Rattus norvegicus: one gene and its partners. The protein of the gene in region 1 purifies or fractionates together with the protein of each later gene. This does not show direct contact. Links are inferred from orthologs where the notes say so. Each region holds a gene or a part of one and is shown in the gene's direction. Other genes may lie near its edges.

The links.
Region 2: the proteins of Ezh1 (region 1) and Aebp2 purify together in Homo sapiens (affinity purification with mass spectrometry; 3 studies listed by BioGRID and IntAct, with this or other methods). This does not show direct contact. The link is inferred for Rattus norvegicus from reciprocal best matches to the Homo sapiens genes EZH1 and AEBP2.
Region 3: the proteins of Ezh1 (region 1) and Phf1 purify together in Homo sapiens (affinity purification with mass spectrometry; 5 studies listed by BioGRID and IntAct, with this or other methods). This does not show direct contact. The link is inferred for Rattus norvegicus from reciprocal best matches to the Homo sapiens genes EZH1 and PHF1.
Region 4: the proteins of Ezh1 (region 1) and Mtf2 purify together in Homo sapiens (affinity purification with mass spectrometry; 3 studies listed by BioGRID and IntAct, with this or other methods). This does not show direct contact. The link is inferred for Rattus norvegicus from reciprocal best matches to the Homo sapiens genes EZH1 and MTF2.
Region 5: the proteins of Ezh1 (region 1) and Phf19 purify together in Homo sapiens (affinity purification with mass spectrometry; 4 studies listed by BioGRID and IntAct, counting the BioPlex papers as one, with this or other methods). This does not show direct contact. The link is inferred for Rattus norvegicus from reciprocal best matches to the Homo sapiens genes EZH1 and PHF19.
Region 6: the proteins of Ezh1 (region 1) and Jarid2 purify together in Homo sapiens (affinity purification with mass spectrometry; 4 studies listed by BioGRID and IntAct, with this or other methods). This does not show direct contact. The link is inferred for Rattus norvegicus from reciprocal best matches to the Homo sapiens genes EZH1 and JARID2.

Annotation. Positions count from the first base shown.
Region 1 is NC_086028.1:86,659,458-86,663,659, reverse strand, and holds the start of Ezh1 (histone-lysine N-methyltransferase EZH1), read left to right. Parts: upstream 1-1,402; 5' UTR 1,403-1,482; intron 1,483-1,547; exon of another isoform or gene 1,548-1,599; intron 1,600-4,202.
Region 2 is NC_086022.1:175,287,044-175,290,543, forward strand, and holds part of Aebp2 (zinc finger protein AEBP2), read left to right. Parts: intron 1-929; coding exon 930-997; intron 998-2,049; coding exon 2,050-2,163; intron 2,164-3,500. UniProt on the Homo sapiens protein: Acts as an accessory subunit for the core Polycomb repressive complex 2 (PRC2), which mediates histone H3K27 (H3K27me3) trimethylation on chromatin leading to transcriptional repression of the affected target gene.
Region 3 is NC_086038.1:5,018,721-5,022,774, forward strand, and holds the start of Phf1 (PHD finger protein 1), read left to right. Parts: upstream 1-1,254; 5' UTR 1,255-1,456; intron 1,457-2,117; coding exon of another isoform or gene 2,118-2,138; coding exon 2,139-2,297; intron 2,298-2,379; coding exon 2,380-2,461; intron 2,462-2,557; coding exon 2,558-2,653; intron 2,654-3,005; coding exon 3,006-3,106; intron 3,107-3,197; coding exon 3,198-3,346; intron 3,347-3,487; coding exon 3,488-3,583; intron 3,584-3,711; coding exon 3,712-3,780; intron 3,781-3,867; coding exon 3,868-3,991; intron 3,992-4,054. Other genes in the region: kinesin-like protein KIFC1, read left to right, coding at 46-90. UniProt on the Homo sapiens protein: Polycomb group (PcG) that specifically binds histone H3 trimethylated at 'Lys-36' (H3K36me3) and recruits the PRC2 complex. Involved in DNA damage response and is recruited at double-strand breaks (DSBs).
Region 4 is NC_086032.1:1,825,615-1,829,634, reverse strand, and holds the start of Mtf2 (metal-response element-binding transcription factor 2), read left to right. Parts: upstream 1-1,220; 5' UTR 1,221-1,453; coding exon 1,454-1,458; intron 1,459-4,020. UniProt on the Homo sapiens protein: Polycomb group (PcG) protein that specifically binds histone H3 trimethylated at 'Lys-36' (H3K36me3) and recruits the PRC2 complex, thus enhancing PRC2 H3K27me3 methylation activity.
Region 5 is NC_086021.1:38,591,055-38,595,354, reverse strand, and holds the start of Phf19 (PHD finger protein 19), read left to right. Parts: upstream 1-1,500; 5' UTR 1,501-1,545; intron 1,546-3,746; exon of another isoform or gene 3,747-3,749; 5' UTR 3,750-3,755; coding exon 3,756-3,935; intron 3,936-4,300.
Region 6 is NC_086035.1:20,159,171-20,163,205, reverse strand, and holds the start of Jarid2 (jumonji and AT-rich interaction domain containing 2), read left to right. Parts: upstream 1-1,235; 5' UTR 1,236-1,760; coding exon 1,761-1,805; intron 1,806-3,335; exon of another isoform or gene 3,336-3,354; intron 3,355-3,570; exon of another isoform or gene 3,571-3,623; coding exon of another isoform or gene 3,624-3,737; intron 3,738-3,755; exon of another isoform or gene 3,756-4,035. Other genes in the region: uncharacterized protein Jarid2l1, read right to left, coding at 1-530, 787-908.

The DNA of each region.
Region 1 (4,202 bases):
TACTGAGCCTGGCCTGATGACCTGAGTCCCAGCCCTAGCACTCACATGAAGGAAGACTAGGAACAACTTCTGACAGCTGTTACAAAAGAACACCATAGCAAGTATTAATGTACACACACACACACACACACACACACACACACACACACACACGCAAATAAATAAATAATAAGATATTTTTTAAAAAAGAACTTGCTAATTTCTGGTGATTGATATTTCCTACCTCTAAAGTTACTATTTCCTTCTTGCACTATTAAGTATTTTGTGGAGAGGTTAAAAAGAAATTATCAAGGCTGGAGGCGGTGGTGTATGCCTTTAATCCTAGCTTTTAAAATATATGTAGTGGGGCTGGAGAGATAGCTCAGTGGTTAAGAGCACTGACTGCTCTTCCAGAGGTCCTGAGTTCAATTTCCAGCAACCACATGGTGGCTCACCACCATCTGTAATGGGATGCTCTCTTCTGAAGTGTCTGAAGAGAACTACAGTGTACTAACATATAAATAAAATAAATAAATCTTTAAATTTCTTTCTTTTTTTTTTTTTTCCAGAGCTGGGGACCGAACCCAGGGCCTTGTGCTTGTTAGGCAAGAGCTCTACCACTGAGCTAAATCCCCAACCCCATAAATAAATCTTTAAAAAATATATGTAATGGTATGTCCATGCACTTGTGTGCCCGGTAACTGGAGGCCAGAAGGAGTCGAATCCCCTGAGACTTGAATTACAGATGGTTGTGAGGCTGAGTGCTGTGGGTACTGAGAATTGAACCGGAGTCATCTAGAAAAGCTATGTTGTTTTTTTTTAAATATGTTTACTTATATGTTTATTTATGAGTACACTGTCACTGTCTTCAGACACACCAGAAGAGGGCATCAAATCGCATTACAGATGGATGTGAGGCACCATGTGGTTGCTGGGAATTGAACTCAGGTCCTCTGGAAGAGTAGCCAGTGCTCTTAACCGCTGAGCCACCTCTTCAGCCCCGAAAAGCTATGTTCTTAACCTCTGATCCAGCTCTTCCTGCTCTGTGGGGAGATATTTTGATATAAGGTTTTATATTTTTAGGTAAAGGATAGACAGAAATAGGAATATCAAGTATGAATAAAACAATAACTTAAGAGCCCAGAGGTATTTGGGGTGTCGGTAAATACGAGGTATCAGAGTGAAGAAATTCTAGGCTGTCTTCCAAAACTTGACATGTAAGTTGTCTAAACACGGTTGGCGATGGTGCGCTGCTGAATAAAGTCTTCTAGAGATCCGTGGCTCCGGGATGTATTTTCTCTGGCAGCGCCACCTGGGAAAGTGTCAGACTACCGCAGTATCACCTTAGCGAAAACACATACCTGCGAAGAAGACAGCCCAGGTGCTCCACCTTCAAAGTGCGCACGCGCACGGAGTGGAGGCGCGGGGCGTGGCCGCGGCGCAGGGGCGTGGCCGTAGCGCGCAGGCGTCCTAGTGGCGAGTGTCTGCGTCTCAGGATGGAGGGTGAGTGAGTAAACAAGCCGGGGCTGGGCGGTGGGGCCGGGCCTCGGCATGGCGTGACATCGGAAACTCAGGGCTCGAGAGGCGAAGAGATGAGGAAACTGATGAGGGGAAGCTGAGGTCCATACCATTGCCTCACCTGGGGTAGCGCGAAGGGTGCGGTCCTGAATGTTGAGGGACCCGGGGCGAGAGCGCGTGCGAGCTGCGGGGGGCCGCGTGGCGGAGGGGGCGCGGCGGGGGCGGGCCCGGCTCGTGTCCCGTGCAAGCGTGGGTGGTCCTTGGCGTCTGCAAGGGACCCTGCCACTCGCAAGCAGGCGGGCCAGAGGCCCGGATCGAGCTTGCAGAGGCTTTAGGTGATGTTGAGGAAGGGGTGGCCAGGCCGATATGAAGGCGAAATGAGCGAGGTTCTCAAGGCGCCCAAGTGTAAGGGTCGAGCTTCCAAGGGTCGCGCGTCACCTCCCCAACATTTTGCTCCCGGAGCTTGCCGCTGATCTAACTCGCCTCACTTTAGTTCCGGGTTTGAGTAAAGATTTGCCTTCAAACTGTGACTGTCTCTCCGGTCCCCAGAATTCTCTGGAGAAACAAACGATATACAAATGAACGTGTCCTGAAGTAAAAGGGGAGGTACTATATGTGGGATGTAACTTGTCAGGAAGTAAATGTGAGGAAAAAATTTAAAAGGATTTTTAAGATTTAGGGTTTTTTTTTTTTTTTAATTTTTACTTTAAATGTGTGTGCACTCTGTGTGTGGATGGTACCAGGGGCATCAAATCCTCTGGAACTAGAGTTAAGGATGGTTATGTACCACACCATGTGGGTGCAGGGAACTGAACCCGTCCTTGTTCTTTGCAGGAGCAACAAGTGTTCTTAACCGCAGAGTGGCTTTCCAGCCCTTGGGGACTAACTTATTTTGGTCAAAGTGACCACTGAGATGATGTAGGTGGTGGGGCACAAGGAAGAGAATGGATGTAGATAGAGGTCAGTGTTGGGGAAAAACAAGCCAAGGAACACAAATAATTGGATATGTACAGGAATGACATTGAAAATGTGAGGATTTGGGGGTACATTTGCTACATGATCTCTCAGAATAAGAAATCTCCCACCCAGTAAATTTTTTTGTTTTTGGTCTCCGCATAGCCCTGGCTGTCTTGGAACTGTCCTTGTAGACTAGGCAGACCTTACACTAACCTGATCCTCAGGCCTCTGCCTCAGGAATGTTGAGGTTGGAAGGTGTGGCCCACCCTCCGCCCAAAGATTTTAAGATAAGGAAAGGACCTGGGCTGTTTTTTTTCCGGCCTGAGAAGGTATGACCTCTGCTAGTCTTTTGATTTTTGAGAAAGGTGGTTTTAGCCTTGGAACCCTAGTTGTGGCACTGAAAGGGAGGTGACCAGTCCACATAGGAGTGAATATATGTTAGGAGAGAAGAACTTAATCATGAGATCGGGTTGTGATGTGCAGGCTTTGAATCCCAGAACTTGGTTAATGGAATTGGGAGACTCGAGTTCAAGGTCAGCCTGGCCTAAACTAAATCCAGTGCCAAAACAACCACAAAAGTATGTAAACACGGAAGAACCACCTGTAAAAATGCAACATCTAATGGGATGTGGTATGCACACCCTTCTAAAGCCTTATGTGGTATGTTCTGACTCATTTAGTCTACATTTTTTTTAAAGATTGATTTATTATATATGTGTACACTGTTGCTGTCTTTGGACACACCAGATGAGGGCATTGGATCCCATTACAGATGGTTGTGAGCCACCATGTGGTTGCTGGGAATTAAACTCAGGACCTCTGGAAGAGCAGTCAGTGCTCTTAACCGCTGAGCCATCTCTCCAGCCTGACTCATTTATTCTAATACTTGTATATCTAACTGAAAAATCTTGTTTTTATTGAATGACAATGGATAGACCCCCCCCAAAAAAAACTTTATACCTATGTAGCTCATAACCAGCTAAGGCAGGGCCTTGCCTGGAGCAGACTGCTGTAGCTCTTCTCCATCAACATTGTATATCTCCAAGGCAGCATTTTCCTCTGTTCCTGGAAATAAAAATAAAAGTCTCCCCAAGAAAACCAAACCTGCTTTGATTTTTGTCACTCTTATCTGCAGGGGAAATGACCTGGTTCTATTAACTGGGAGCAGCTCCAGCTTGTGACTACTCTCTTAACTTGTGTTCTTGCCTCATGGTTGATTTTAATTCAAATATTGGTGAAATTGAGAAAAGTGACTCTCTCTCTCTCACACACACACACACACACACAGACACATAATAATTATATATGTTTTAAAGATTTTATTTATTTTAGGGGCTGGAGAGATGGCTCAGTGGTTAAAAGCACTGACTGCTCTTCCAGAGGTCCTGAGTTCAATTCCCAGCAACCACATAGTGGCTCACAACCATCTGCAATGGGATCGAATGCCCTCTTCTGGTGTGTCTGAAGACAGCAACAGTATATCATATAAATAAAATAAATCTTTAAAAAAAAAAAAAGCACTGTCTGCTTTCCAGTGGGCTGGGGAGATGGCTCAGCTGTTAAAGAGTGTCTGTTACTTTTGTAGAGGATCCTGATTTGACTGTCAGGACCCACATGGCCCATAACTCCAGTTCTAGGGGATCAGACTGACACTAGCTTCTGAACTCCGAGGGCACTGCTACTTTCATGGCACACATACACACATGTAGACCAAACACTGACATGAGATAAAATCTGAAAGTGAATTT
Region 2 (3,500 bases), on another chromosome or scaffold:
TGGTATGTTTTGGGAATAGTAATATAATATTGAGACATTTCTAACTTGGACTTGGTATCAGTAGTATTGAGATGGTAACGACACAGACGGAGCCCCAGTGTCAGTCAGTGTGGACTCTAGGGATCACCTTGGCTTTCAGACTGCTGACACCCTGGCCAGATAGGATAGGTGGGCCACTCTGTAAGACCTAAGATGAATTGACCCACCGAGTACAGCAGTGGAAGCCCAGGCAGACAGTGATCTCAGTAGATATTTCTCTTTGCAGCAGCTTTAGGTCTCCTGTAGTCCAGGTTACTTTGGAATTGGCCATGTAGCCAAGGATAGCCTTGAATTCCTAGACCCTCTGACCTAGGAAGTTATAGTTATGTGCCACTAAAAACCTGTTTCTGGTTTCATTGTTGTTGTTTGTTCTCTGTTCTCCTATATATCCATCTGTTTAGAGATGAGAAGTCATTTGGGAGTCGGTTCTCCTTCTCCCATGGAGATCATGGGCCACAATCAGCCCTTGAACAAAGTGCTTATAACTGCTGAGCCACCGGCAGCCATTAGTTGACTTAGTGGTCTTACATTTTTTAAATGGTTTGTTTTTTTAATTCTTGAGAGAGAGAGAGAGAGAGAGAGAGAGAGAGAGAGAGAGAGAGAGAGAGAGAATGTGTGTGTGTGTGTGTGAGTGAGTGTGTGAGTGTGTATGTGTGTGTGTGTGTGAGTGAGTGTGAGTGTGTATGTGTGTGTGTGTGTGTGTGTGTGAGTGTGTGTGTGTGAGTACACCTTGGCAATTTCAGTGTTGTGGGAAGAAGTTGATGTGTGGGAAGAAGAAAGGGTGAGATGTGGTGGCAGTGCCTTTGCTGGTAGGCATGGCTGTCAGTGTTTTAAGAGTATAGAGAGATGGTGGTTTATAGTTTACTTTTTACTTTTTGTGACGTTACTAGGTAATAGCTAAGAGAAAGGAGGAATCTGGGAAGATAAAGCTTTTGCTTCATTGGATGCCCGAAGACATGTAAGTATTTGAAACTGCATAAAGAAATAAACATGTTTTATTTTTATTAAAATCATGAGTTTAAAAATGATTTAGCCTACTGAAATCTTAATAAGAAATTTACTTGTACTGTGCTTTGAGGCTGTCAAGTTGGCAACGCTTAGAGGTTGTATAAGGAAGCTTCTGAGGAGGACCACCAGTCCCTGTGACGTCAGAGGGCAGCTTGGTGAATGTTCCTTCAGGAGGCAGCGGCTGGAGCTTCTGCACCTCGGCGTCTCCCTAGCCACAGTAGCTTCCCCAGTCTGTGAAGCCAGCACAGTTTTTATGCAATTGGTCTTCAGTCAGAGAGCCGCCTCCCACATGGAACCTTTTTGTTTTTTAGACAAGGTCTCTCTATGGAGCCCACTTTCTGAAAACTCATGGTCGTCTTTATTGAAGCTGATTTTTGAGAAGCCATGTTTGATTTGCAGCACCCACCAGATGGCACATCGTACTGTCCACAAGTACCTACATTGGGCCTTCAGGGCAACAGGCAGGCATATTTGTGGCACACAGACGTGCATTCAGGCATACACTCATGCATATTAAATAAAGTTTTTTTAAAATGTCAAATTTAATGTTATAACCCTACTGTTACAGAAATTGAACAATTCAGATATCAAAGTACTTTGCTTTGTAGGATTAAATACTTTTAAATTCAGATTTGGTCACACACATGCAGTTTCTCCTTTTCTTCCTTGTTACCCTTTCCCCCCTTCAGGCTCCTGAGAGTCCTCTCCTCGGCGTTGATGGAGTACTCCTTTGTTAGTGAAGAAACAAAGTTAGATTTTCTTTAATTTATTTGAAAGCCAGCCTTATACATTCCTAGTGCATCCTATAGACCCCAAATGCTACTCGTGGAGTGTGTGTCTGACACACGGGCCTTGGCAGAAGTAAACACAGGTGTCTGTCAGCACAGGAGCAGTATATCAACGATAACAATAAATTAATTAATGTAGGTGTCTCTGTCAGCACAGGAGCAGTATGTCAAAGATAACTATAAATTAATTATTGGCTTTTTTTTAAATTTATAGTCTGCCAGATGTATGGGTGAATGAAAGTGAGCGACATCAGTTAAGAACTAAAGTAGTTCATTTATCAAAACTACCCAAAGACACTGCCTTGCTGCTGGACCCAAACATCTACAGGTAACCTCCGTCCTGACAACACACTTTCCCTTCTAAATTATCATCTTGACCTTTGTAGGTTTTGGGGACATTGGAGCTTTTCAGTAGAGATAGAACATCATGTCCATCTGCAGTGTTGGAGATCTGTCTTGCTTTTGTGTAGACATGAGTAACTGAACATCCCTTGTGAGCGTTCAGAATCCCTGCACCAGGCTTTGTAAAGCATGCAGATTTCTGGACTCGGGACAAGCAGCATTTCTGTCCTGTAGATCTGTAGTTTTCTTGGGTGGTGCAGGGGTTGTGGGGCTGCCCATGTGGTGTGCCATCAGCGCTGCCTCCCTGCTGTGTCTCAGACTTCTGTGGGCCTGAAAGAGAGCGAGTGTCCTGTAGGCCGTGTGCTTCACTCACTCTGTCCTCAGACTTTTCCGAGGAGCAGTGAGCAGCACTGTGTGTGTTTAGTGCTTCTCAGTCGCATTCCTAAGCTTGTCTGATGAGAGGTTTCCGCAGGTGACACACAACATAGCACCCCTGGGCGGGCCTAACACTATGTGTCCTAGCAGCTGTCACAGCGAGTTCACTCCCTCTGCCCACGTCCCAGAGTATGAGCTAAGCACCATGCTGCTGTGTCCAAATAGCAGACTAAAAACCAGCGACTAAAACCAGTGACTAAAAACCAGCGCCCAGCCTTGTATTCTCAGGGGCAGTGCATTTTAATGTCTTGTGAGAATGGTTACCCAGCAGTAAGACGAGGCTGATAAATCCCCAGATTGGCCATCATAAAGTTAGCTGATCTAGAGTTGAGGGGGGGTAAGTAGCAAACTTGGGGTGCTCATGCCAGTTAGGAGTCCTTCCAACTAATCTGTATCCCTGTCTAACTAAGACTCCCATTTGTAGGAATCGAACTCTTTGAAAGGTCCTGTTCCTTCTGTGACTCAGGTGTTGGAAATGCCATTCAGTGTATCAGGATTCTTGTTTGAGACATGTTCTGAGAACAGAGTTCCAACATCGCGGGTCTTGCTTGCTGTGAGGGAACATTGAGACTCTTGGGATTCCCTACTCTCCCCTCTTTAGTATAAACTATCCTCTGTGGACAGTGCCACAGGCAATGAGACTTACTCTCTGAGATGGGATAAGATTGAGACGATCACACCAAGAATATAGGAAAGTCATACTTAGAAAGATGAGTGGCATTCATTTGCTGGTGCCTAACTTAGATTTGATCCCACTTACTCTAGGGAGGTAATTGAAGTAGGACAGCGGTGTTGTGCTCCTCATTTGCCTTAAAACTGGTTAGGGCACAGCACCTTCAGAGTCCACAATGGATGAGCATCCAAGCCTCTTCTCTCCATCCTTCCCCT
Region 3 (4,054 bases), on another chromosome or scaffold:
GTAAGCAGTGATCTCGTGTAACCCTATTCACTGGTCCATCCACAGGTGAACCAGTGCGTGATCGGCACTGCTCAGGCTAATAAGAAATGAAGATGGATGCAGAGCCTGGCTCCTGTGCAAGCGGGTGTGCGTGTCTGTTTTGTGTATATGTATAACACGGGGGTGGGGCGGGGCTGAGACATGATTTTATTGGGTGGACAACATTATGTACCCAACTATCAAATAAAGAAAATTTGGTGTAGGTTAATTTTTTTCTTAATCTTAGATTTAAAAAATTGTGTGTGTACAGTTGTTTAGCCTGAGTATATACATGTGCACCATGTGCATGTCTCCTGCTCCTTGAAGTTCAGAAGAGGCTTCGGGGCCTCTGGAACTGGAATTATGGACAGTTTTGACCATCGATGTGGGGTCTGATCAGTAAGTGCTCTTAACCACTGAGCCATCTTTCCAGACCCTGTTACAGCTCTTAATGGTTTTATTAATATTGGTAGCTGCCAGATGAAGTATTGTGAGTAAATACCGTAAGATGTAGAAATGTCCATTTTGACCTGTTTTGCAGAGTGAGGGAGGCTATGGGCTTTCACTTGGAGGGACACACTAACTTTGCTGCCTGCCCTGGTGCCTCTCCTCTGTCCTTCAGCTCAGGGAGTTGTGCCCATAGTGCCCACACCGGGCCCTCTGTGACCAACTAAATCTCTCACTTCCCCTGCCCACCGGTTCGAACCATGGTTCGGTCCGTGCCGCCTAGTGCCCATTGGCTGGTGTGGGCGCGTCACCGCCCCAGTACTAGTTCCAAGTAGCCTCTGGTCCTTTCCCTCCTAGAGGAGCACGGCCATGCCAGTGCTCGCCGCGGGAGGAGTGGCTGTGTGCCCAGGTGCGGCGCGCGGGCGGGGCTACGCGTGCGCAGAAGGGCGGGGCAACAGAAAGCGTGAATGAGGAGGGCGGTTCCGCGTGCGGAGGCGGAGCTTGGAGTGGCCACGGGGGCGGGGCAACTAACGGATGTGGCATGGGGCGGGGCCCGGCCCTGACCTGCAGGCTAGCTGCCAAGAAGGTTATTTCCTGCTGCCCTCAGAGCAAGCCTCCTATCCGAAAAGGGGGCTACAGGGATTTCCTCGTCCTCCCCGACCGGCCGCGCCTCCAATAGCGCAGCGCCCTCCGGGCCTACTGGAGGTGAGGGAGGTGCTGCCTACCCGCCCCTCCGTCGTCTCCTCCCACTGGTGCTCCCCACCCTCCACTCTCCTCCCTCCTTCTGTCGACTCCTCCTGCCGCTGCTGCTGCTTTGGCTGCTGCGTCATACGCCCCAGAGCGGCCAGGACGGAGGGGCTGGGCCCGGGGACCCCCCTGGCCTCCACCTGCACGCCCCTCGGCGCTCACACTCAGTCTTCCCGCACCGGGGACTCACCCAGATCTCTTGGGTCTGCCCCTACCTGGCTTCCAGCTGCCCCAGCTGTCACCGGTAAGGAGAAGGCGGGAGGCCCGGAGGGGGGGGGGCAGGGAACCGGGGGTCGGTGCGCAGGAAGGGCTGGGGGAGCCTCCTGGTCCCAGTTTGGGATCTGTGCTGGGGCGACTCAAGTCCCTCCGTGGACTGGCAGTGTAGGGGAGTAGAGACTTGGACAGGGACACGCCCCCCTCCTGGGGCACTCAGGGAAGTTATCTAATCCCAGGTCAAGGAGCCCCAAATTTGAGGGTGACCTAACATAACCTGGCACCAGGATGGTGGCTCTAAATAAGACACACAAGCCTGGGGAGGCAGCTGTTTCTACTCCTTTAACGTCTTTAGAAAAGCTCCCAAAACATCTCCGGGCAACAGATTGCCCCAGTTAGGCTACCTCTACACAGCTGGGAAAGGTGAAACTAAGTGGTAACCTTGATTCTGCAAACATCTTTTCCACCGGAGGTCCGGAGGAGCTGGGATACTACGGAGCTAGGCAGGGGAGATGGAAAGGAGTGGAGTAGAGAAGCTGACCAGAACGACCTGCCTCCTCGGGGTTCTAAAGGATTACGAGACTGGGGTTGGAGATTCCTGGTCAGGGTCAGGGTTTCTTCATCCGTAACAGAAAACAACCCACACAGGGACACTTTCTCAGCGCTCATAAACTCTAACCATCCTGTTTCAGAATAGCCCACCCCAGGATGCAATGGCGCAGCTCCCCCGGCTGAGCCGTTTGGGTGCTCCCTCTCTTTGGGACCCAGCCTCCCCTGCTCCCACCTCAGGCCCCAGACCTCGGCTTTGGGAAGGTCAAGATGTGCTGGCAAGATGGACTGATGGGCTCCTGTACTTGGGCACCATCAAAAAGGTGAGGCCCACCTCTGATCCCCTGCCTTCCCAGGCCGGTCTGATTCCTGCCCCCACTTTACGGTCTTGGTCATCCACTCCAGGTGGACAGTGCGCGGGAGGTGTGTCTGGTCCAGTTTGAGGATGATTCCCAGTTTCTAGTTCTATGGAAGGACATCAGCCCAGGTGAGACCCTTCAAAGCACAGCTTCCCTCTGCAGCAGCTGGAGCCGATGGGGACGCTGGGTTGAAGTGGGCCTCCTGACACTTTGTTCTCTCACAGCCGCCCTTCCTGGTGAGGAGCTCCTCTGTTGTGTGTGTCGCTCTGAGACCGTGGTCCCTGGGAACCGGCTGGTCAGCTGTGAGAAGTGTCGCCATGGTGAGAGGGCGGGATGTTTAGGGGGTGCAGTTTGCCCTGGGTCTTCTGGGTTACCACTAGAAGGGTTACCCTCCCTCATAGCGTGAGTCACGCACGTCTCCTGCCTGGGCCAGTCCTCACCCTGTCACCTCATCTCAGTACAGGGAGAGGGAGCGTGGATGCAGGTGACAAGGCTGAGGGCCTACCGTAGCTCGCTCACATTTCTTAACCAAGCTTCCTTGGGCAAGGTCCTCAACTGCTAGAAGCCCGTTGACTCAACTTGAGTGTCAGGATGAGACCTGCCAGCGGGACCGGTCTTAAATGCCCTGGTCAGGACTTAAAGGCCACTCTGTGGCCTTCTCTCCTCATTCAGCCTATCACCAGGACTGTCACGTCCCCAGGGCCCCAGCCCCTGGAGAAGGAGAGGGCAGCTCCTGGGTCTGCCGCCAGTGTGTCTTTGCGATTGCCACAAAGGTAAAGGCACCTCTCTGCCTGCTTGTGTGGGAGCCTCCCGTGACCTCTCCTCCTTCCCTGCCCTCTGAGGCTTCCCTCTGTTCCTCTGCAGAGGGGAGGTGCCCTGAAGAAGGGTCCCTATGCCCGGGCCATGCTGGGCATGAAACTCTCCCTGCCGTACGGTCTGAAAGGGCTGGACTGGGACGCCGGACATCTGAGCAACAGGCAGCAGAGCTACTGTTACTGCGGGGGCCCGGGGGAGTAAGTGAAGGAAGAGCAGGGCCAGCCACGGCATGGGTGTTTTGTGGTGGTAGAGCCCAGGACAGAGGGGAGCGAAGAGGGTGAGGGGGGGCCCTGTGGTTTGAAGAAGGCTGAGGGCCATGGCGCTGTCTTCCCCTTGAGGTGGAACCTGAAAATGCTGCAATGCCGGAGCTGCCTCCAGTGGTTCCATGAGGCCTGCACCCAGTGTCTGAGCAAGCCCCTCCTTTACGGAGACAGGTGAGATCCAGGGAGACTGCACAGGAGCCTGGGGTGCTCTCTCTCCCGCGCTCCCGACTGACTAGTTAGCCCTCTGCAGCTCGTACTGGAGGGTTGAGTGAGGTCCCTCTGTCCTGACCCATATACAGATTCTATGAATTTGAATGCTGTGTGTGCCGGGGCGGCCCTGAGAAAGTACGGAGGTTACAGCTTCGCTGGTGAGAAGGATGGTGCTCTCCGCCATTTTACTCTATGACTCCTGACTCCATAATGCTGCTGCTGTTGACAATCTCATGCTCCTCCAGGGTGGATGTGGCCCATCTTGTTCTCTACCATCTCAGCGTTTGCTGTAAGAAGAAATATTTCGATTTTGACCGAGAGATCCTCCCCTTCACCTCTGAGAATTGGGACAGTCTGCTCCTGGGGGAGGTAAGGGTTCTAAAGTTTGAGAACTGGGGTTTTTGGAACAAGGAATGCGTGCTCCCTGGGACC
Region 4 (4,020 bases), on another chromosome or scaffold:
GCTCAGGGTCAGCTTTAGTTACATAAGACCCTGAGAGAGAGAGAGAGAGAGAGAGAGAGAGAGAGAGAGAGAGAGCACACAGAGGCAGAGACAGAGAGACACAGAGAGATTAAAATGTACTGAATAAAATATCGAATAATACATAGCTAGGATTGGTGGCTCAGGACTTTTAATCCCAGTACTGAGGAGGCAGGGGTAGGAAGATCTCTGTGAGTTTGAGGCCAGCCTGGTCTACACAATGAGGACAGCCAGAGCTACAGAATAGGTAGATCTTGTCTTTGAAAAAGAAAACAACTGTACAGTGTAATATGAATGCGTTTATTTGCCAGAGTTTTCAGAGGATAGATCTTTCTCTTGAAATACGAGTGGAAAGAATTTAGATCATAAGAAGTACTTCTTCAGAGGGAAAATACAGTACTCTCTCTGTGACATAATCTGTGATAAAAAAAATATCAATCTGAAATATTTTCCAAAATATGAAGGTATTACAGGTGTTTCTACAGATGCTGGGTTGCATTTAAATGTAAGTCAAAGAGATAAGCATGCATTCCATTTATCAGCTGGGCCTCATACAAGAGCCTGCAATAGTATGAGAGTTACTTCGATCAACTGCTTCGCAGGAGAGTATGCTCAGATTTTACTGCAATTAGGAAAGGTCACGAAGCAGGTAAACAGAAAAAAAAAATCCTGTTCATTGTCAGAGGGGGGGAAAAGTGTGAAAATCTCTCGTACAGATTCCAGATAAGTTTTGATTTGGAGAGTAATCATTGAACAAAATTTGCCATCCAGGGTCTCCTCCCCACTGACAGGAATTCTAATAGCAGGCCTCGAGGTGGAGGTAAAAGAAAAGTAATTTTTTAGTTAATAATTTCCTTTCTACACATAAGTAAATCACCCCAGGAAGATGTACTGAGCAATTATCCCATTTCTGAGGGCATTAAAAAAGACCTGCACGATAGGTTGGACACGAAAAACAGTCCAGCGAGCCTCTGCGTCTGGAAGGGCAGCGCTCACTATTGTGTATGCACCGGCAGCAGAAGGACTTAGTCCCACCGCGACATTAAAGAGTCCCTCTTTGTTCAGCGCTGGTCCGGGACGTAGGGCACGGTGTTCCTCCGCGCTCGCCGCGCAGGCCCCGCCCCTCTGCGGCTCTGGAGAGCTGCCATTCGGCCCCGGAGTAGCTCCGCGCTCCCAGAATGCACCGGTAGTCCGCGGGAAACCAAAATGGCGAAGGGCTGTAGCGAAGTGGTCTGTGTTTGAGGCCGGTGTGAGAACGCATATTCTCCTCCCCAATCCTCGTCCCCAAGGAATTCAGTGCGTGTGTGTGCGTGAGCGCAGGGTTCCCGCTGGGGCGGGTGCCCAGTGAGTGCCCGGACTCGCGGGGAAGCGCCCACGGGAACGTGATTGCTTCTATTTTCCTGTATGAAGCGGTTGGCACCACTTAAGTGACCGAATGAGGTGAGAGACCTTGGCCTGGGAACCGACTCTTTGGGAGGAGGTTGGGATGCAGAGAGACGAAAGAAAGGAAGCAAAAGAAAGGGAGAAAGATGGAGGATCCGCAAGGGAGTCCAGTGTGGGGGTGTTTTTGCGTTGATGCATATGTTGAAAGAATGGATCGAGCGTAGACAGTGAAATGTTGGTAAAAATAGGGGCTGGAGGAACGAGCGGGGCGTTCGGGGAGTCAGTTGGTGGAATTAGATAAAACGTTGAGACAGGGAAGCTGTGTTTGGAGGGCAGGAAGGAACCTGGGGGCGGGAGACGGTTGGAGGGGCAGGATGAACCTGGTGATGAGGGGGTGGGGAACCTAGGGGAGGAGCCGTCAGAATGTGGGGAGCCTAGTAGAGGGGCTGCCTGGCACTTTAAGGGGTGGTAAGGGAAGTAGCAGTTTGGAACCAGAGGGTGCTGGAATTGTGTGGAATTGTGTAGAATTGTGGGAGGGGAATCTAGTGGATGGGCTGGATAGAGTGGGAGGATGAGGAAAATACTCCGGAAAACAAGCCCTGGAAGCTTAAAGGGAAGAAGTGATATGGGGAAGAGATAGCTTTTACTTACAGGCATTCCTCCTGTTCTCCTGTTCAATTAAAATTTCTTGCTCTGATATTTGTATTCATCATTACAACCTAGTTACTTACGACTTTAAGGGATTTAACTAAAATTTCCACGATTTCTTAACACATTTCTATAGTGCCAGAACTCTTAACTGTGGTTTACAGTCTGCTGTCCCTGGTTGTTAGAATTTTTCTTTGGCAGAGATGGGTTTATTAAGTGATAGGAGGGACTGTGAACAATAGGAAAGGGGGTATGGAATGCTGTTTTAGTCTTTAAATAAAACATTTAATTTGGTTGAAGATATTACCATGTAACAGTAATTAGAATTTGAAAACCCAGACAAGCCTGTAATTGACATAGAAAAGTCCCTCTTGAGATCAACGTAGAACTAGAAATATGTAGGTAGTGGTTGATTTGACTCCATTTTCTTTAGCAGTAAGTAACTTTCTCCTTCAAATAGATTCCATGTAATCTTCATATTACAACTTTTCTGCAGTTGTCTGCAGACTGTTTTCAGCCTCTATGTTTTAATTTTCTTTTTGGGGAGGGAGTAAACTTACGGGTGATTGTGGGTAAAGAAGTGATTCTTTTTAGAGTGCTGGACAATGCTTTACATGGAGCTAGCTAATGGGTTTTTTTGTTGTTGTTTTTGTTTTTTAAGTTTTTTTTTTTTTTTTTTTTTTTGGTTCTTTTTTTCGGAGCTGGGGACCAAACCCAGGGCCTTGCGCTTCCTAGGTAAGCGCTCTACCACTGAGCTAAATCCCCAGCCCCGTTTTTTAAGTTTTGAAAGCAAGGTCTCCTTAGGTAATCCTGGCTAGCCTGGACCTCACTTTGCATTCCAGACTGACCTTGAACAGATGAATCTGTCTGCATCTGCACAGTAAATGCAGATGGAGATTGGAAATGTGTACTACCATGCTCTGCTGATACTACTTACCTTGAGTTAACATCAGCAACTATCATTGGATGTACAGCTATACTTAAATGTGTAGTGTGGAGAATGTTTTTCCTTACTTGTTCAAAAAGTATATATTGGGGACTTCCTATGCTAAATGTAGTCTTATATTAGAAATCTCGTTGTCAAACAGTAGACATGTTCAGTGCTCATGCAGAGTACGCAGTTTGATTTTGAGCAATGATGAATGATAGAATGAACAAACACAGGCACATGTGCAAGCACCATTTAGCACCTTTGAGCTATAATTGATGACATTTGATGGTGAAATGATGAAAGTACAGAATAGATTCATTGTGGAGCTACTGAGATAGCGGAGTTCAAAACTATCAAGTGTCAGAAGAACAAGAACAACTGAGATTAGAGAAGACAAGAGAAACATTTTGTCAAATGAATACACCCTGAAATTTGGGGAAAAATGTATAAGACATTAAAAACATTTTTTAATGCATATGTGCAGGGGGTAGGGGTGGGGTATGTGCTAGTGTCCATGGAGGCCAGAGGCATGAGATCCCCTCAGACTAGATCAGAGGTGATTGTGAGCTGCCCAGTATAGGTGCTGGAAACCACACTCAGTTCTTCTCCAAGAACAATGTGTTTTTAATGGCAGAGACATCTTTCTAGCCCCCATAAAGGATATTTTTCATCTGTTATAGTGGTTCTAAAATTTAACCTGCTGTAATGAATACATTTTTTTCTTTCTTTTTGTAAGACTTCCTTTTATGTGTGTGGATGGTTTGCCTGCATGTATATGTGTGTACCACATGAGGGCCGTGCCCACAGAGGCCAATCCCTTGTCCCTTTGGAACTGGAGTTAGAAATGGTTGCAAGTTGCCATTGTTAATGCTGTGAATCAAAGGCCCTGGGATTTGAACTCAGATCCTCTGGAAGAACAGCCAGTACTCTTAACTGCTGAGCCATCTCAACAGTCCGAAAAAACATTTCTTGACAGCAGATAGGGGCTGGAGGATCCAAAGTTCAAGGCTATTCTTGGCTATATAGAGTTCACAGCTAAC
Region 5 (4,300 bases), on another chromosome or scaffold:
GCGCCTCTAACCATCCCAACAGCTGGACAACAAGTGACGCAGAGTCTCACATCCAAGAATAGGTGGCGCCAGCCCATGAGCTACAGAGACAGGCTTGCTCTGTTGTCTCTGCCTCTGGAATCCTAAAGGTGCCTCTGGGCAGCCTCGGGCTCGTGACAGAGCTTCCTGGACAGAGGTGTTATCTCTGCAGAAGGCAATGTGTAGCTATGCCTTCCTAGGCTGGAAGATCCTGTCTGGTGGGGCTGCTACCAACTTCCTTTCCAGGCTCAGCCAAGGGAGACAGATGCTCAAATTAACCAGATTCTGCTGTGGGTCAAATCCCCAGGAAGACCAGAGAAGCAGGAAGACCCAGGGGAAAGGGGGGATGTGGACATGTGAAAGAGGATTCCTATATCTCAAGCTGGGGGGCGGGGGGAAGAAGGTGGAAGGCAGGCAGGCGCTGCAGGTCAGACTGCCCACCACGCAGGAAGCAGAGGACCAGTGTGGCCCCTGGAAAATGAACAGGGAAGGCTCTGGGAAGGAAAAGCAGTACACAACCACACCAAGAATGCAAGCATTCCAGCAGGGTGTGCCTGCAGGGGGCCTTGCTAGCAGGTGCAGTGGGCAGTCCAGACCGAAAGCAGAGATGCGGGTAGTGGGTGTTACCAGTGTTATCTCCAGCCCTGGCGCCAAGAGTGAGTCTGGTTGAGGACACTCTGTCTTTTCTCCTGGAGGGAGGGAGATCTTATCTGACTGGAGCCATATCCACAAGATCTGTCTTAGGTCTGCCCTTTACGTATTTGTCGTGTTTGTGCCCACGGTCTACGTGACTATTTCTCTTACACTGTTATCTCTACAGTGCGTGACTGGCATACTCGAGTGGGTCTTGTGGTCACTGTGTCGGAGCTCTATGCTGCTGACTTGTGTGTGCCGTGCACGCGGTTTCGCGGGAGTCTATGCTGAAGGCAGAGTCATTTTGAGTGTTGTGACTTATGGCACACATATGTGTGCGTGTCCTGTGTCCGATTCTCTTAGGCTTGCCCTGGTCTCCGGGGAGTGACGTGGAGTGTCCGTGCTGTAAGATCAAGGTGTTGGGAGACCTACCCGGGTCCTGAAAGGTCTGGGTGTAGTAGCTGTGCGCGTGTGGTGTGTGTACGCCTGCCCAGCCGTGGGTCTGTGCAGCTGTGTTTCCGCGTGTGCCCGCTCTGCTCGCTGCGCGGGGGCGGCCCCGGGAGGCGCTGCGGGGCCCCGCCGGCCGCGGGCTCCAATGGCAAAGCCGGTGCGGCCCCTGCTAATTACATAAGCGGGGACGTCAATAATTCGCGGGAAAACGCGAAAAAGATGGCGCCCCGCGCCCGGGGGGCCCCTTCCTGAGCGCACCGGCCCCTCCCTCCCTGCGTCCCCTCCTCCCCGCGGCGCCCCCGCCCCGCCCCGCCCCCGCCGAGACCCCTACCCCGGCCCCAGGGGCGGACACTCGGCCGGGCAGTCCTGGGCCGAGCGCACCACCGCCACCGATGTGCTTGGTGGCCAGACTCCAAGTGGGACCGGCTGACGCGCTGCCTCGCGGTAAGTCCCGCGCTGCGGGCGCCCCGGGAGTGTCCGCGTTTCACGCTTCAATCCTGCACACGATCCCTCTCCCAGAAACCTAGATTGAGCCCTACGATCCCCGGGCGGGGGCTGGAGTTCTGAGGAGCTGCGCGCTTGTAGGATGGGAACGGAGATGGAGCCCGAGCGGTACCCTCAGGGCAGCGGGAGTCCCAGCCACATCCCCAGCGCTGGGCAGGATGTGGGTGACAGGTCTCCGTTTGTGGCCGCGTGTCTTTTCTTTTCCATTTGAAGCTATGGAGGGGAGGATAGGCAGGGCATTTGGGATTTTGCTCACGTCCAAAGTCAGGCTACGATAGGCTGGGAGCGGGGAAAGTTTGCAGTTAGAGCAACTGAGGAAAGGAGTGCCTGTAGCTGAAGGGGACACTTTTTGCAAGCTATCCTCTCCCCTGAACACCCTTTTAAAAAGCCAACGGCCGCCCTGGAGAGGCCTCGGCGCATGAATCATCCGCGCTTCCTGCCCCCGCCCGGCCCCGCGCGCCCAGTGCCGCGGATTTGAACTGGACGCCGACGGGAACCCGCAAACAAGCACTTCTGTGCCGATGGGTTTGAATCAGCCAATCACAGCCCGCGGGGGCCCTCTCCAGGAGGATGGAGGCGAGATGGGGGGGCCACCACCCGGGGGCCCAGCACGGCCTCGGGGGCGCAGCGACCCGGCCTGCCCCCAAAATCTCAGTGGGGGAGGAAATGTCAGTTTGTGAACCTGCCGAGGCCGGCCACACTCCAGACCCAGCATGCGGGGATCTCCCAGCTCCCAAAGAGCCAAGTGCCAGGGAGATGGCAAAAAAGTTCTGACTACAGCCCTTACCTGGTGCTTGTTCCTCTGCCCTGGAGTAAAAGATAGGAAGGAGAAGGCAGAAGGAGGTTGATTCCCATCATTTGAAGACCCTAGATCCTGACTATGCCCCACCGCCCCAGGCCCCTCACATGCCCACGTGTATTTAGTTTTACGTATAGGACTGGCACACTGCCATAGACTATCCTACAGTCTCTGAAGAGGCACTCACATGAAAACACACCCGGAGCTGTCTTCTTGTGGGCTGGCAGGGCACCAGGTGCCCAACACCTTAGGCAGAGGGAGGAACCCTGAACAGGAGCGCCCCCCACCATCCCCTTACACTACAACATAAGGAAACTGTATTTGATCTTAGGAGAGTATGTGTGGAGGAATACGACCACGGAGGGGAGAAAGCAATAACTGACCACCAGCGAAGGTTTGGGAAGCCACAAACCTTCTGGAAGGTTCAGATAGAGAAGCTGGGTGCCCTGAGGCTCCCCGTTCCAGGTACCAGGCAGTAGCAAGCAACAGGCTCAGGAAAATAGGCTTGGAAAAGGTGAATGAAATAGCTGATGAGGAAAAATGAGACAAGAGTTGGAAGCAGGACATGATGGGAAATAGGGCAGGATGCTCCAACCACTCTAGGGTGGAGATTCGGAGTTTCTCAGGCCACTGTCCAAAAAGCCCGCTGTGGCAGTGCACTGGTTGGAGAAGTGACCACCACCACGGTGATACCTCTATCAGGAACAGAGAAGCAAAAGGCAGCACTTTAATGAGATGTAGAGAGCCAGATGTGTTAGACTGGTATGGCAATGGCTTAGCTGCTTTGAGCCAATGTGTATGTGGATAAAAGCATGGGCAGGTTTAAATGCCCCAAACTGGTTCCCATGAAGTTATCGGTTAATCGAGAACAGAAAGGGGAATTTCAAAAGGGGGGGGGGGCGCATGGCTATGTTATGCGGTTCCCATGCCACCTCAAGAATTTTCATTGCTAGGTGGGCTTTTCTCTGAAGATGTTTTAGGGGAAACATAACATTTTAAGTGCTTGCTTCCTTGGAACTGAGCACACATATGGGACAAAGCTTCAGCCTCCTGGACATGAGGTGGGGTTCAGATCCCTGGGTCCTTTGCGCCAGGTATGGCGGGAAGATACACTCTCTTAGCAGCATGGTATGGTATAGAGCCTCCTTGACTCCCTGTGAGCCATGGCTGCGCCTCTGGGTCACCAGCCACTTCTTCTTGTATCTCCTGTTTCCCTATCCGTAGAATGAGATAATAATGTCTCCCTCCCAGAGTTGTACTGTCAATAAACGTGTTTGAGAGCCTTACTGGATTTCAGGAGCAGGAAGCAAGATAAATATTGCTCTTTCTCCTCCGGTGTCAGCAGAAGCTGATGGAGACGCAAGCTCTGGAACCAGGGACTCAGGAAGCCTTTGGTGCCACCAGCCCTAACAAGGGGGCCCCGTCTAAGACCAAAAAGAACTTCAAAGACTTGATGTCTAAGGTGACAGAGGGACAGTTTGTGCTATGCCGGTGGACTGACGGGCTATACTACCTTGGCAAGATCAAGCGGGTAAGTCTGCTCTGGTCCTTGGGCCCAGGCTCCTGTGTTTTTCTGCTCATCTCCTTTTACCCCTCATGCCTAAAGCTGAAAGTGGAAGGGACCAGAGCTTGGCTTTGCAGGCTCCAAGTCCTCAGGCACAATGTGGCCCAGCAGGTTCTTCAAAGAACTTAAGCAAGCACCAGACTGGGCAGGGCATGGATGACTCTCTGACCTGCTCTTCGATCCTTAAAAGCATCCCCATTAAGTCGTCCCCTTGTTCCTAAAGGCCATACTCTGAGGTGGGAAACACAGCTCTCCTTCTGGCCTGTCTTCTGAAGCACAAGGCCAAGAGAGACAGAGGAAGACTGAGACCCAGCTCCCCCCTGCTGCTCCCT
Region 6 (4,035 bases), on another chromosome or scaffold:
GCGACCACGAGGCCGCGTGCCTAGCCCAGAGGCTGCCCTCCCTTCCGCTCCGCGCGTGGGCTCGCGTGCGGCCGCCGGCCGGCGTTAAGCCGTGACCTCGGACCACCCCGGCCGGCCGCGCGGCGTTTGCTCGGCACACGGGCGCTGTCCTGAGGTGACACCGCCTGCAACGGCAGAAGCAGCAGACGCCGCCGATCAGCGAGTTCGCACCGAGGATTCCTCTTGGTGCGTGGCCCAGTTTTTTTTTTTTTTTTTTTTTGCTTAGGACCCGCTCCAAGCCCTCGCTGACACCGCCCCCCGCGCCGCCACGCTCCGAGGCCTTCCCCGGGGAAGCCTGGCGGCTTTCCCTCGCGGGCCCGCGGCGCGCTCTCGCGCGCGATTCCTCGATTCCACAGGCGGTTCGCGCCCGGGGTGGGGGCGGGGCGCGCGGGGCCGGGCCGGCGGCCCGCGGGGAGGGGACTGGGGGCGGGCCGGCGTGGGGAGTTCCTCGCTCCCGGACCACACGCTCCGCGGGCCAATCCCGAGCCACCCTCTAGCAGTGTCGCACGCGGGACACGTCCAAGCGTTTGTTGGCAGGGCTGGGGAAGGGGGAGGGGGAGACCTCAGGGAAGGGAGTTGAGTGACAGGAGGTGTGGGGCACGCTGGGAATTGTAGTTCTTAGCTTCCGTGGCCATAGCCATTTTGTAGTCAAGGGACTACAACTTCCAGAAGATCAAGGGGACTATTCTAAGGTGCCCCGGGAATAGGCGGCTCTCCCCCGGGCCGGGCGTCCTGGGGCAGTGGTACCCTGCTGCCCGGCTGCAGGTAGACGTGAGGGCAGTGGCGAAGGCTTGCATGCGGCGACTGTTGGGTGAGCGGACTGCCGGGGGGAAAGGGGCTGAGGTGGAGCGACCGAGCGTGCCATGCATTGAGCTAGGGAGCCTCTCTCAATTCCAGGACTGGGCTCGGCATGGGAGAGGCGCCTGACGGGCGGCCCGCAAAGGATTCGCTGAGGCCTCTCCGGGGTCTCGTCGACGGGGCTGCGGGAGTTCTCTGCACTGGGCCAGGGTTTGTGGGCAAAGGGTAGGCAGGCGTGCGGGGGCTCAGCTGTGGGAGTTTTCGGCTGGCGAGAGATGGCGAATTAGCCGAGGAGCCCTAACTTGTATAAAAGCAGAGTCCATTTAAAGTTGGGCTGGATAGCCTCTCTCTCATTGGTTAGGGGGCTTGGAAAAAAGAGACTCGGCGAGCCCTCCGCTGTGGTGCTGCCGCCGCCGCCGCCGCCGCTGGAGTTGACTCTTCTGCTCGCACTGCTGCTGCAGCACAAACGTGACTTCCAACGTTTTAAATTTATCTTTCCTTTTTCTTTTTCAAGATGTAACTACAGATCAGATGCTAAGGACCTTCACGTTTCGCTGATGTAGTTTTTGGAAGAAAAAGGGGGGGAGTGAAGGGCGTCGGTTTTTTTTTCTTTTTTTCTTTTTTTTTGTGTCTGTTGTATGTTTCGGGGGAAATTTTCCATTATGAGTGTTTTACTAAAGTGAATTTTTCTTGTTTGCTTCGTTCGTCTTTGGCTCTTTTTATTTTTTTTCTTTTATCCTTCTCAATTTCGGATTTATTTCAAGGCGAATCTGGCTTTGGGGGAAGAGGAAGAAAAGTCGGATTACAAGATCAACCACCACCACCAACAATAAAAACCACCAGGATATTTTTTTGCAAATTTCTGACGGCTTTAAATTCATGAAGCAATTGTCCCCTTTTGCAATCAGCATTTGGATCTCAGAATGAGCAAGGAAAGACCCAAGAGGAATATCATTCAGAAGAAATACGTAAGTGCTCCTAACAACACATCCTTTGGCTTGCAGTTTTAAGCGATGGCTGTGAATGTCAAGTTTATAGATAATTCTGCAGCTGAAAGGTTCTAAACGTAGCGTCCGATAAGGCTCTTTCTTTTTCCGAAAGGGCTTTTCAGGCAAAGTCGTGTCTGCCTAGTTTGGTTGAGAAAACAGACTGGTGTACAGATACCTCAAGTATATAAATTGACCTCGAATGACACAACGTTAATGTACTTTAGATGAAAGGCAAGGGGTTTTGGTGGAGGTTGGGGTTCTGTGTGTGTGTGTGTGGGGGGGGGGGGCTGCAGTGATCTAACTGCATTCTCGGGAGGATTTGGCCCCATATTGCACTTTGCATACAAATGAGCCGGTTATTAGTGTTATTTGGAAAATCGTGTAAGGTGTGTGTGTTGGAAGCTCTTTAAGTTGCAATTCAGAGTACGATTATGGCGATCTTGCACATTTAATATATGTGGCCGTTTTTGGCTTATCTAGTTTGCAACATAACCCAGTTGGGAATTATGTTACAGGGAATGCATTTATTGGTATTGACTTTTATAAAGAGGCTGGTTTTGATTCTAAAAAGAAATCATGGTTTCTAGTTTGAGGGGGAAAACATAGCTCATGTAAAAGTGTATGTGTTTGAGTGAGTGCAACTGTTAGTACGAATAATTTCGTCCTGTAAACTGGGTTTCTGAAATGGGTTGTAATGGTTACATTTGTTTTGTGCATAGTATAGCAGCGTTTTGCTTGGCATAGGGAGTGTTTTTGTTTTGTGTAGTGGCTTTTTTTTGGTAAGTTTGGGGGGAGGGAGTATAGAGGGGAATCGGGGGATTAACCAAATATGCACTCGAGTGATCCGGTGGTTAGCTACATATGCTTTAGAGCAAAGAACACATTTTCCTTTTTCCAGAAAAAAAGGGTCCTTGAAGGTACATAAAGAAAAATGCGACCTTATAAGAAAGTTTTATTTAACTAGGGTCGATAATTTGGTCTTAATGTTTTCCCTTTTTGGTTAGTGTGGAGTGTATAATGGGAGATGACCTTTGGGGCAGTGCTTTTGTAAAATATGTATATATATGTGTGTGTATTTAATGGAAAACCTGAATACCTCTTCCGGAGAGCTGATCCTAATCTATACACGTAAACTTAACTATGAAAGAAAGGCAAGATTAAATAATGAAGCTCAACTTACAAGCTATTCCATAAGGAATTTAAGAATTAAAATACATCCGCATTGCAGAGGGCTGGGTAAAGCGCAAAGGACTAGTTTAAACTCGATGTGTAGAAACTGCATGGACACACAGAGCTTTGCCTTGGAGCGTGGACTCCTGCCCAGACCATGTCTGTTTCTGACGTAGCCACAAAGGAGATGGGGTAGAACTTGGGACAAGAACCCCCCCCCCCCATCCCGGATCCCGATAAGTTGGAGAACACCATGGGTAGGCTTTTTTTGTTTTTTGCTGGAGGCCAGTAGATCCTGTCGAGTCTGGACATCCGGCCCCAAGCCGAGGTGGCCGGCGGTGGCCGTGCGAGGCAGAGCGTGAGTTGCTGCTGTGGGAACCCAGTCGGCCCAGGCGGTGTTCCGGACGCAGCCGGCCCAGAGGGTGCGCGGGGCCCGCAGCGCTCTGGGCCGTGGCCCGGGCTCGGGAAGCGGGCGCGCGGGCGGCCTGTAGGGGGCAGACTCTGGGTTGTGCTCTGGCCGGGCGGGTGGGTGGGGCTCGCGGGCGGCGCGGCGTGCTGACTCGGGGCGGGACAGGCTGGGTTAGTGAGGCTAGGGGGTAGTTGGGGGGGGCGGGGAGGAAGGGAAGGATGCCTCTGGCGCCCCCCGCAGAGCACAAGGCTGAGCTTGGCGGCTCTGGCATCTCTAAGCCGCCCTGCCCGCAGGCTCCGGCGCGGTCTCGAGAGCAACAGGTTAAGCAGGAGGTAAGTCAGCGCGCCCCCTCCCCGCCCCGCGGCCTTCTTTTGCCTTGAGCCTTTGCACCCCCCATCCGGGCCGTCACGTCCTCTCTCCGCCCCTTGCCCCCTGTGGCTTTAGTTCCTCGGTCCTCCCCTTTTGGAGCTGCCGCTCTGTTGTCATTGTGACGTCACAAAGGGACGGCCCGGTGGAACCTTCCCCTCCTCCGTGATGTCAAAAGTCGGGCGGGAGGTTCCAGGCGCGGCCTGAGTGGGAGCTCCAGGAGCTGCGGAGCGGGGCGTGGGAGGAGGAAAGGATGTGGCTGAC